Saccharomyces cerevisiae S288C: one gene and its partner. The gene in region 2 interacts genetically with the main gene of each other region. Each region holds a gene or a part of one and is shown on either strand. Other genes may lie near its edges.

The links.
Region 1: of PYC2 (region 2) and MLS1, extra expression of one rescues a mutant of the other (dosage rescue), as found in Saccharomyces cerevisiae (one study listed by BioGRID).

What each region holds. Positions count from the first base shown.
Region 1 is NC_001146.8:404,539-408,835, reverse strand, and holds MLS1 (malate synthase MLS1), read right to left. Parts: upstream 2,479-4,297; coding exon 814-2,478; downstream 1-813. Other genes in the region: ubiquitin-conjugating protein DMA2, read right to left, coding at 1-495; DCP2 (decapping enzyme complex catalytic subunit), read left to right, coding at 3,272-4,297. UniProt on the Saccharomyces cerevisiae protein: Malate synthase which takes part in the glyoxylate cycle. MLS1 activity is essential for cells to grow on oleic acid as a sole carbon source.
Region 2 is NC_001134.8:658,207-664,457, reverse strand, and holds PYC2 (pyruvate carboxylase 2), read left to right. Parts: upstream 1-2,208; coding exon 2,209-5,751; downstream 5,752-6,251. Other genes in the region: YBR220C (uncharacterized protein), read left to right, coding at 1-1,463; YBR219C (uncharacterized protein), read left to right, coding at 1,155-1,455, 1,877-1,959; ATG12 (Atg12p), read right to left, coding at 6,066-6,251. UniProt on the Saccharomyces cerevisiae protein: Pyruvate carboxylase catalyzes a 2-step reaction, involving the ATP-dependent carboxylation of the covalently attached biotin in the first step and the transfer of the carboxyl group to pyruvate in the second.

The DNA of each region.
Region 1 (4,297 bases), on a different chromosome or scaffold from region 2:
AGACTCTTGAACGTTACCAACATTGTTGCCTTCGAAATTATGCGCAGATGATTGCTGGTGGTCTGTGGTTGTAGGGGCAGTGAGAGATATGGAGATGGGGAGTTGATAGTTGCGATGAACGTGGAACTGGGCCGACAGAGGCATTTGTATAGGATGATGCAGACGTGGTTCCTGCTGTTGCGGAGCGGTATCGATACTTTCCATGGCCACACTCATATGTGAGTTAGATGGGGTTGTGCCGAATAGACGCTGATCAGGAGCCGCAGAAGAAGAAGCTGTCTGGCTATTTTGCCTAATTCCGAAGGTATTCAAAAACGAACTGATACCCGACGCCGGACGAGCCCGCTCATTGGATGGAGTACCACTGGCTCTGTTCCTTGGGTTTATGCCACTACTGCTAGTGGTGTTGGCATTTGATGCGGATGAAGAGTTGGACGTCATCGATGAAGTTGGTGCAGTGGGAGCAGGGGTATTAGCAGGGATAGGCGTGTACATTTCCACGGTATATCCTTTGCTGAAAGCTTCAAACGTATACAATGCGTTGCTATACTTTCTCGACTTCTTTTCAAATCAAAATATATGCCCACGTTTGGAGTCATCAAGTATTGTGTTTGAAATTCCACAACAATGGTTGATGCCTTCGCCGTCGACCGTGATACATTAATCTGGCCAAAACAAAAAAAGGAATCATGATAAGATGATTCATTGCTAACTACGAAACGAAGCAATATAAAGATAAGTTTTTGGATTCCGATACATAATCATATAGGCATGAATATATTTTTATATATGTGTACACTGGGGCAAGGGAGATCACAATTTGCTCAAATCAGTGGGCGTCGCCTTAGTGGACACAATTTCGTCGTACAACAATGTAGTCAAAAATTCACTGAATTTCTCGCCTCTGATTTCTGGCAAGAAATACTTAGCGGCCAGCGCGAATTTGTTCTTGTCACCCAATGGACTTGCCTTAGACAGTCTTTCCACTTGTTCTTTTAGAATCTTTTCGGTTAATTCTGGGGTGACCTTTTCTCCCGTGTCCTTTAGAGTAACACCGTGTTTCACCCATTGATACAATTGACAACGAGACACTTCAGCAGTGGCGGCGTCTTCCATCAAGTTGTTGATGGGCACACATCCAGAGCCTCTGAGCCAAGCTTCCATGTACTGCAACCCGATATCCAAGTTTTGTACAATTCCCTCGGTAGTAATCTCACCATTTGGAATTTTGGTTTCCAGCAGATTAGCAGCCGTTACAACGTTTTCAGGAATGAAATAGATTTGGTTTGGTGTTCCCATATTAATGAAAACTTCATTACAAATAGGGGCCAGTGCTGGGTGTGCAACCCATGACCCATCATGTCCATTTGTCAGCTCTCTAATCTTATCATTACGGACTTTAGTCATGGCCTTTTCATTGGCTGCCGGGTCGTCTTTGATAGGGATTTGCGCAGCCATACCACCCATGGCATGAACACCCCTCCGATGACAGGTATTGATTAATCTTTTCACGTATGCATCCATGAATGGGGAAGTCATAGTCACTTGATTTCTATTGGGCAAAATGTGATTAGGATCATTTCTTAATCTCTTGATTGTAGAGAAAATATAGTCCCAACGTCCGCAATTCAACCCACTAGAATGTTGTCTTAATTGATAGATGATCTCTTCCATTTGGAAAGCAGCAGGCAAAGTTTCAATCAACACAGTAGCTCTGATTGTACCCCTTGGGATCCCAATGTAATCTTGAGCTACACAGAAGACGTCGTTCCATAGTTTAGCTTCCAAGTGGTGCTCCATCTTTGGCAAATAGAAGTAAGGACCTTTGCCCAATTTGATTAATTCTTTGGCATTATGGTAGAAATATAAACCAAAATCAAAGATGGAAGCGCTGATTGGTTCATCATCTACATAAAGGTGCTTTTCCACCATGTGCCAACCACGGGGTCTCACGATAATAGTGGGCAAGTTGGCCACATTTCCATTCAATTTGTACGATTTTCTTGGTGTGTCAAAATCGATTTGATTTCTGATCGCGTCGTAGAGATTAACTTGACCGTAAACCATGTTGTTCCAAGTAGGTGAAGCTGAATCTTCAAAATCAGTCATATAGGTGTTCACAGGAGCATTCAAAGCGTTGATCAGCATATTTCTCAATGGAGGCCCTGTGATTTCCGTTGACCTATTAATTAACCCCGGTGCCAAAATTGGACCTTGCCAAGTGGGATCATTTCTAATATTTGCAGTTTCAGGCAGGAAATCCAGATGATAGGAGCCCGAGTCTAATTTCTTCTGAACAACTTGTCTGTTTTCCAATAATTGTTTTCTCTTGTTGTTGAAAGTTCTGTGTAAAAGAACAATGAACTCTAGAGCATCCTTGGTAAGAATATCTCCCACTGTAGTACTAGATGGTTTAAAGAAAGGCTCCTTATCAACATCCACCAGTAATTTGACGTTATCCAAACTGACCTTAACCATTTTCTTAATTCTTTTATGTGCTTTTACTACTTTGTTTAGTTCAAAACAATAGTCGTTATTCTTAGGTACTATAGCATAAGACAAGAAAAGAAAAATAAGGGACAAATAACATTAGCAGAAGTACGGTATATTTTACTGTTACTTATATACTTTCAAGAAGATGAGTTAAATCGGTAGCCAGTGTAGAAAAATAATAATAAGGGTCATCGATCCTTCGCATTTTATTATCCAATTAAAGATACGAATCACGGCAAACTATATTCAAAGCTCATAGATAATCGTCGTAAGGCTGACACTGCAGAAGAAAAGTCATAATTTGAATACTAGCCGGTATGAAACTGTGATTGATTAACCTGGGGTTACCTAAAGAGAACATAAGTAATACTCATGACAGAATCAAAACACAATACAAAATTTATCCGAACCTCGGCCCGACTGCCGGCTCGCCGGGAAAGGGGACAACCGCTTCTATCCGTCGACTAACTTCATCGGCCCAATGGAAGCTATGATATGGGGATTTCCATTGAGCCGATAGCAATGTAGGGTAATACTGTTGCGTATATAGTGATAGTTATTGAATTTTATTACCCTGCGGGAATATTGAGACATCACTAAGCACGAATTTTACGTCTGAGGAAAGTTGAATGATGGCAAAATAACCAGGAAAAACAAATATTGAATCCTTGTGAAGGATTCCACAGTTGTTTAATCCTCCTTAAGCTCACTTAGTATCAATTGTCTAAATAATATTGCTTTGAATCTGAAAAAAATAAAAGTACCTTCGCATTAGACAATGTCACTGCCGCTACGACACGCATTGGAGAACGTTACTTCTGTTGATAGAATTTTAGAGGACTTATTAGTACGTTTTATTATAAATTGTCCGAATGAAGATTTATCGAGTGTCGAGAGAGAGTTATTTCATTTTGAAGAAGCCTCATGGTTTTACACGGATTTCATCAAATTGATGAATCCAACTTTACCCTCCCTAAAGATTAAATCATTTGCTCAATTGATCATAAAACTATGTCCTCTGGTTTGGAAATGGGACATAAGAGTGGATGAGGCACTCCAGCAATTCTCCAAGTATAAGAAAAGTATACCGGTGAGGGGCGCTGCCATATTTAACGAGAACCTGAGTAAAATTTTATTGGTACAGGGTACTGAATCGGATTCTTGGTCATTCCCAAGGGGGAAGATATCTAAAGATGAAAATGACATAGATTGTTGCATTAGAGAAGTGAAAGAAGAAATTGGTTTCGATTTGACGGACTATATTGACGACAACCAATTCATTGAAAGAAATATTCAAGGTAAAAATTACAAAATATTTTTGATATCTGGTGTTTCAGAAGTCTTCAATTTTAAACCTCAAGTTAGAAATGAAATTGATAAGATAGAATGGTTCGATTTTAAGAAAATTTCTAAAACAATGTACAAATCAAATATCAAGTATTATCTGATTAATTCCATGATGAGACCCTTATCAATGTGGTTAAGGCATCAGAGGCAAATAAAAAATGAAGATCAATTGAAATCCTATGCGGAAGAACAATTGAAATTGTTGTTGGGTATCACTAAGGAGGAGCAGATTGATCCCGGTAGAGAGTTGCTGAATATGTTACATACTGCAGTGCAAGCTAACAGTAATAATAATGCGGTCTCCAACGGACAGGTACCCTCGAGCCAAGAGCTTCAGCATTTGAAAGAGCAATCAGGAGAACACAACCAACAGAAGGATCAGCAGTCATCGTTTTCTTCTCAACAACAACCTTCAATATTTCCATCTCTTTCTGAACCGTTTGCTAACAATAAGAAT
Region 2 (6,251 bases):
TAGTAGACTCACTGTACAACAAGCGCATCGGTAGAAGAAGATCATGGATCATTCCAGTACAATTTGTTAGTGGATTTGTGCTATGGGCATTAGGGTGGTGCATATCACAAGGCATAATCTTCGATGGTGTCGACGATGCGTTCCATAATCGCGGTAATGGCACTTTACACAGTGTCAGTATAAAAAATTTGACGTGGTGGTTTGGCCTGTTAGTTTTTCTGTGTGCCACTCAAGACATCGCAGTTGATGGTTGGGCGTTGACGATTTTGTCCAAAGAATCCCTATCATATGCATCTACCGCGCAAACAATAGGTTTGAATATTGGTTATTTTATGTCATTTACCATTTTCCTGTCGTTGAATTCCTCTGATTTCGCCAATAAGTATTTCAGAAACATCCCACTGGATCACGGGTTCATTAGTCTTGGTGGGTACATGAAATTCTCGGGCATGCTTTACATTGTAATAACCATATATATCATCTTTTGCACCAAGGAAAAACCCTACGTAGAGTATTTGCCCAAAGTGGAGCCCATAAATACAAGTGACGGAGGGTCAAAGCCGATAAGTATTGAGTATGACGACGGTGATGTGGTGTCAACTCAGAATACAAGCAGTATAAAGTACATTTACCGCTGCTTTATAAAAGTGTTGAAATTGAAGTCCGTAAGAAGCCTAGCCTTCATTCACATGATTTCGAAATTTGCCTTTCAATGCAACGAAGCCGCCACAAACCTGAAACTACTAGAGCAAGGCTTCAAAAGAGAAGACTTGGCTGTGACAGTACTCATAGACCTGCCGTTCGAAATCATATTTGGGTACTATGTTGTTAAATGGAGCTCCGACAAGGACCCCATGATTCGTGACAATAGAAGATTAAGAAACAGCACGGGCACCAACAAGGTCATCAAGTTCTTAGTTGGGGATGCCGGCGTTTTAACACCATGGTTGTGGGGCTTTTTGGGCCGTCTGGCAGCCGCGGTCTTGGGAAGTTACGTGGTGAAGCAATTCCCCAAGGATGGTGAAATATCCACGGGTTATTTTTGTCTCGTGATATTCCAGCACCTCTTAGGTTCCTTCATGAATACTGTCCAGTTCATTGGAATATCGGCCTTCCATACAAGAGTTGCAGACCCCGTGCTGGGTGGCACATATATGACATTGTTAAATACCCTCAGCAACTTCGGTGGGACATGGCCGCGGTTAATCATTATGTCCATGATCAACTACTTCACCGTGTATCAGTGCACTATTCCTGGCACAAATAAAGTATACGTAACTCACGGCGGCAGCATGCAAGCGTGCACCGAGCTTTTGAATGGCACCGTGACCATCCTGCGTGACGGCTATTACATCACCAATCTCATATGTATTGTAGTCGGACTTTTCCTATATTTTGGATATTTGAAAAGGAAAATCCTCCATTTACAAAGTCTGCCAATCAGTTCCTGGAGATGTACGTAACGACCCCTCAAACAAGAATTGTACGACATTACGTTCAAGAAAATTTTAACGAGTATCGTAATATTTACAAGATCTTTTTATGTACTACAGGAAGCAGAAACAAAATGAGTATCAATACCAGTGTAAATCTGTTAATGAGAATCATCACATTATCCCAGTTTTTTCCATGCAAGGGAAAAATATACTATACGACATTTCTATACTTTAATTATCAATTAAGGTCATCTTTCTGTACGAAAACTAACCACGATTGTCACTAACGACGTGTCCCTTACCCGACGCAGCTGCTGATAGCGTACCGCACAGGCACAGCCAGCTCTTCTGTGATTGGCAGAGAGGGGTCCTTCCTGCGGAAGACGCCGCAAAGGCACATATGACTAACCTTTTTTTTTTCGCAATTAATTTTCTAATAGTTTTTCATTTTTTTTTTACAATTTTGGCAGTTACGTCTCGAGCTATTTATTATAAGAGTCAGAATTGGCGCAGGGAGTGTTAAGTAAGAAGTACTCCCCATCGGATATTTCCTATTGTGTTTCTGTGATTTTTAGTCCTTTTTTCTTTTCTCTTACTTTCGGTATCCTTACTTGATTACATACATAAACAAGCCCCTCTTTTCTTCCAAACTCTTGTAGCTTACTATCTGTGGCCCGTCATTTGAGTTTGATTTTTTTGCCAATTACTATATTGCAAAATAAAGGACAGTTACTAGGAGAGAAAATAAGGGACATAGAGAACAAAATAAAATATGAGCAGTAGCAAGAAATTGGCCGGTCTTAGGGACAATTTCAGTTTGCTCGGCGAAAAGAATAAGATCTTGGTCGCCAATAGAGGTGAAATTCCGATTAGAATTTTTAGATCTGCTCATGAGCTGTCTATGAGAACCATCGCCATATACTCCCATGAGGACCGTCTTTCAATGCACAGGTTGAAGGCGGACGAAGCGTATGTTATCGGGGAGGAGGGCCAGTATACACCTGTGGGTGCTTACTTGGCAATGGACGAGATCATCGAAATTGCAAAGAAGCATAAGGTGGATTTCATCCATCCAGGTTATGGGTTCTTGTCTGAAAATTCGGAATTTGCCGACAAAGTAGTGAAGGCCGGTATCACTTGGATCGGCCCTCCAGCTGAAGTTATTGACTCTGTGGGTGACAAAGTCTCTGCCAGACACTTGGCAGCAAGAGCTAACGTTCCTACCGTTCCCGGTACTCCAGGACCTATCGAAACTGTGCAAGAGGCACTTGACTTCGTTAATGAATACGGCTACCCGGTGATCATTAAGGCCGCCTTTGGTGGTGGTGGTAGAGGTATGAGAGTCGTTAGAGAAGGTGACGACGTGGCAGATGCCTTTCAACGTGCTACCTCCGAAGCCCGTACTGCCTTCGGTAATGGTACCTGCTTTGTGGAAAGATTCTTGGACAAGCCAAAGCATATTGAAGTTCAATTGTTGGCTGATAACCACGGAAACGTGGTTCATCTTTTCGAAAGAGACTGTTCTGTGCAAAGAAGACACCAAAAAGTTGTCGAAGTCGCTCCAGCAAAGACTTTGCCCCGTGAAGTTCGTGACGCTATTTTGACAGATGCTGTTAAATTAGCTAAGGTATGTGGTTACAGAAACGCAGGTACCGCCGAATTCTTGGTTGACAACCAAAACAGACACTATTTCATTGAAATTAATCCAAGAATTCAAGTGGAGCATACCATCACTGAAGAAATCACCGGTATTGACATTGTTTCTGCCCAAATCCAGATTGCCGCAGGTGCCACTTTGACTCAACTAGGTCTATTACAGGATAAAATCACCACCCGTGGGTTTTCCATCCAATGTCGTATTACCACTGAAGATCCCTCTAAGAATTTCCAACCGGATACCGGTCGCCTGGAGGTCTATCGTTCTGCCGGTGGTAATGGTGTGAGATTGGACGGTGGTAACGCTTATGCAGGTGCTACTATCTCGCCTCACTACGACTCAATGCTGGTCAAATGTTCATGCTCTGGTTCTACTTATGAAATCGTCCGTAGGAAGATGATTCGTGCCCTGATCGAATTCAGAATCAGAGGTGTTAAGACCAACATTCCCTTCCTATTGACTCTTTTGACCAATCCAGTTTTTATTGAGGGTACATACTGGACGACTTTTATTGACGACACCCCACAACTGTTCCAAATGGTATCGTCACAAAACAGAGCGCAAAAACTGTTACACTATTTGGCAGACTTGGCAGTTAACGGTTCTTCTATTAAGGGTCAAATTGGCTTGCCAAAACTAAAATCAAATCCAAGTGTCCCCCATTTGCACGATGCTCAGGGCAATGTCATCAACGTTACAAAGTCTGCACCACCATCCGGATGGAGACAAGTGCTACTGGAAAAGGGACCATCTGAATTTGCCAAGCAAGTCAGACAGTTCAATGGTACTCTACTGATGGACACCACCTGGAGAGACGCTCATCAATCTCTACTTGCAACAAGAGTCAGAACCCACGATTTGGCTACAATCGCTCCAACAACCGCACATGCCCTTGCAGGTGCTTTCGCTTTAGAATGTTGGGGTGGTGCTACATTCGACGTTGCAATGAGATTCTTGCATGAGGATCCATGGGAACGTCTGAGAAAATTAAGATCTCTGGTGCCTAATATTCCATTCCAAATGTTATTACGTGGTGCCAACGGTGTGGCTTACTCTTCATTACCTGACAATGCTATTGACCATTTTGTCAAGCAAGCCAAGGATAATGGTGTTGATATATTTAGAGTTTTTGATGCCTTGAATGATTTAGAACAATTAAAAGTTGGTGTGAATGCTGTCAAGAAGGCCGGTGGTGTTGTCGAAGCTACTGTTTGTTACTCTGGTGACATGCTTCAGCCAGGTAAGAAATACAACTTAGACTACTACCTAGAAGTTGTTGAAAAAATAGTTCAAATGGGTACACATATCTTGGGTATTAAGGATATGGCAGGTACTATGAAACCGGCCGCTGCCAAATTATTAATTGGCTCCCTAAGAACCAGATATCCGGATTTACCAATTCATGTTCACAGTCATGACTCCGCAGGTACTGCTGTTGCGTCTATGACTGCATGTGCCCTAGCAGGTGCTGATGTTGTCGATGTAGCTATCAATTCAATGTCGGGCTTAACTTCCCAACCATCAATTAATGCACTGTTGGCTTCATTAGAAGGTAACATTGATACTGGGATTAACGTTGAGCATGTTCGTGAATTAGATGCATACTGGGCCGAAATGAGACTGTTGTATTCTTGTTTCGAGGCCGACTTGAAGGGACCAGATCCAGAAGTTTACCAACATGAAATCCCAGGTGGTCAATTGACTAACTTGTTATTCCAAGCTCAACAACTGGGTCTTGGTGAACAATGGGCTGAAACTAAAAGAGCTTACAGAGAAGCCAATTACCTACTGGGAGATATTGTTAAAGTTACCCCAACTTCTAAGGTTGTCGGTGATTTAGCTCAATTCATGGTTTCTAACAAACTGACTTCCGACGATATTAGACGTTTAGCTAATTCTTTGGACTTTCCTGACTCTGTTATGGACTTTTTTGAAGGTTTAATTGGTCAACCATACGGTGGGTTCCCAGAACCATTAAGATCTGATGTATTGAGAAACAAGAGAAGAAAGTTGACGTGCCGTCCAGGTTTAGAATTAGAACCATTTGATCTCGAAAAAATTAGAGAAGACTTGCAGAACAGATTCGGTGATATTGATGAATGCGATGTTGCTTCTTACAATATGTATCCAAGGGTCTATGAAGATTTCCAAAAGATCAGAGAAACATACGGTGATTTATCAGTTCTACCAACCAAAAATTTCCTAGCACCAGCAGAACCTGATGAAGAAATCGAAGTCACCATCGAACAAGGTAAGACTTTGATTATCAAATTGCAAGCTGTTGGTGACTTAAATAAGAAAACTGGGCAAAGAGAAGTGTATTTTGAATTGAACGGTGAATTAAGAAAGATCAGAGTTGCAGACAAGTCACAAAACATACAATCTGTTGCTAAACCAAAGGCTGATGTCCACGATACTCACCAAATCGGTGCACCAATGGCTGGTGTTATCATAGAAGTTAAAGTACATAAAGGGTCTTTGGTGAAAAAGGGCGAATCGATTGCTGTTTTGAGTGCCATGAAAATGGAAATGGTTGTCTCTTCACCAGCAGATGGTCAAGTTAAAGACGTTTTCATTAAGGATGGTGAAAGTGTTGACGCATCAGATTTGTTGGTTGTCCTAGAAGAAGAAACCCTACCCCCATCCCAAAAAAAGTAATTTTTACTCGTTAATTATATTTTATGACATCTGAAAATACTAGCTGTACTATATATGGCGTATATTTTATCTAGTTATGTTCCCATGTATATTTAAATGCCAAATAGAAAGTAATCAAACACTTTCGATGAAATACGTGCTAACTGTGTTTCTTCCTTAATGCTTTCACTTACCATGTCTCCATTCTCCATTTTCTTCTTGAGTGAAAATGTGAGTTTATAACGCTCAAGTACGTTAACTACTCTATTTAATATCGTACGGGATTTTTGATCGACTGTAGGTTTTCTTCTTAGACCATTCCAGCGCCCGGGTATTTAACCAAACGCTACGGATGCACAATAACTTACAATAAGCTCATCATTAGTCTTGAATTGCATCCAAAGTTCACCAATATTTTGCTGCGGACTTGGCGCAAACGAATTATTTATATAACAATAAACATGGTCCATTTTCAGCCGTCTCTTAAGAAATAAAATAACCATTGCAAAAGACTGTGACAT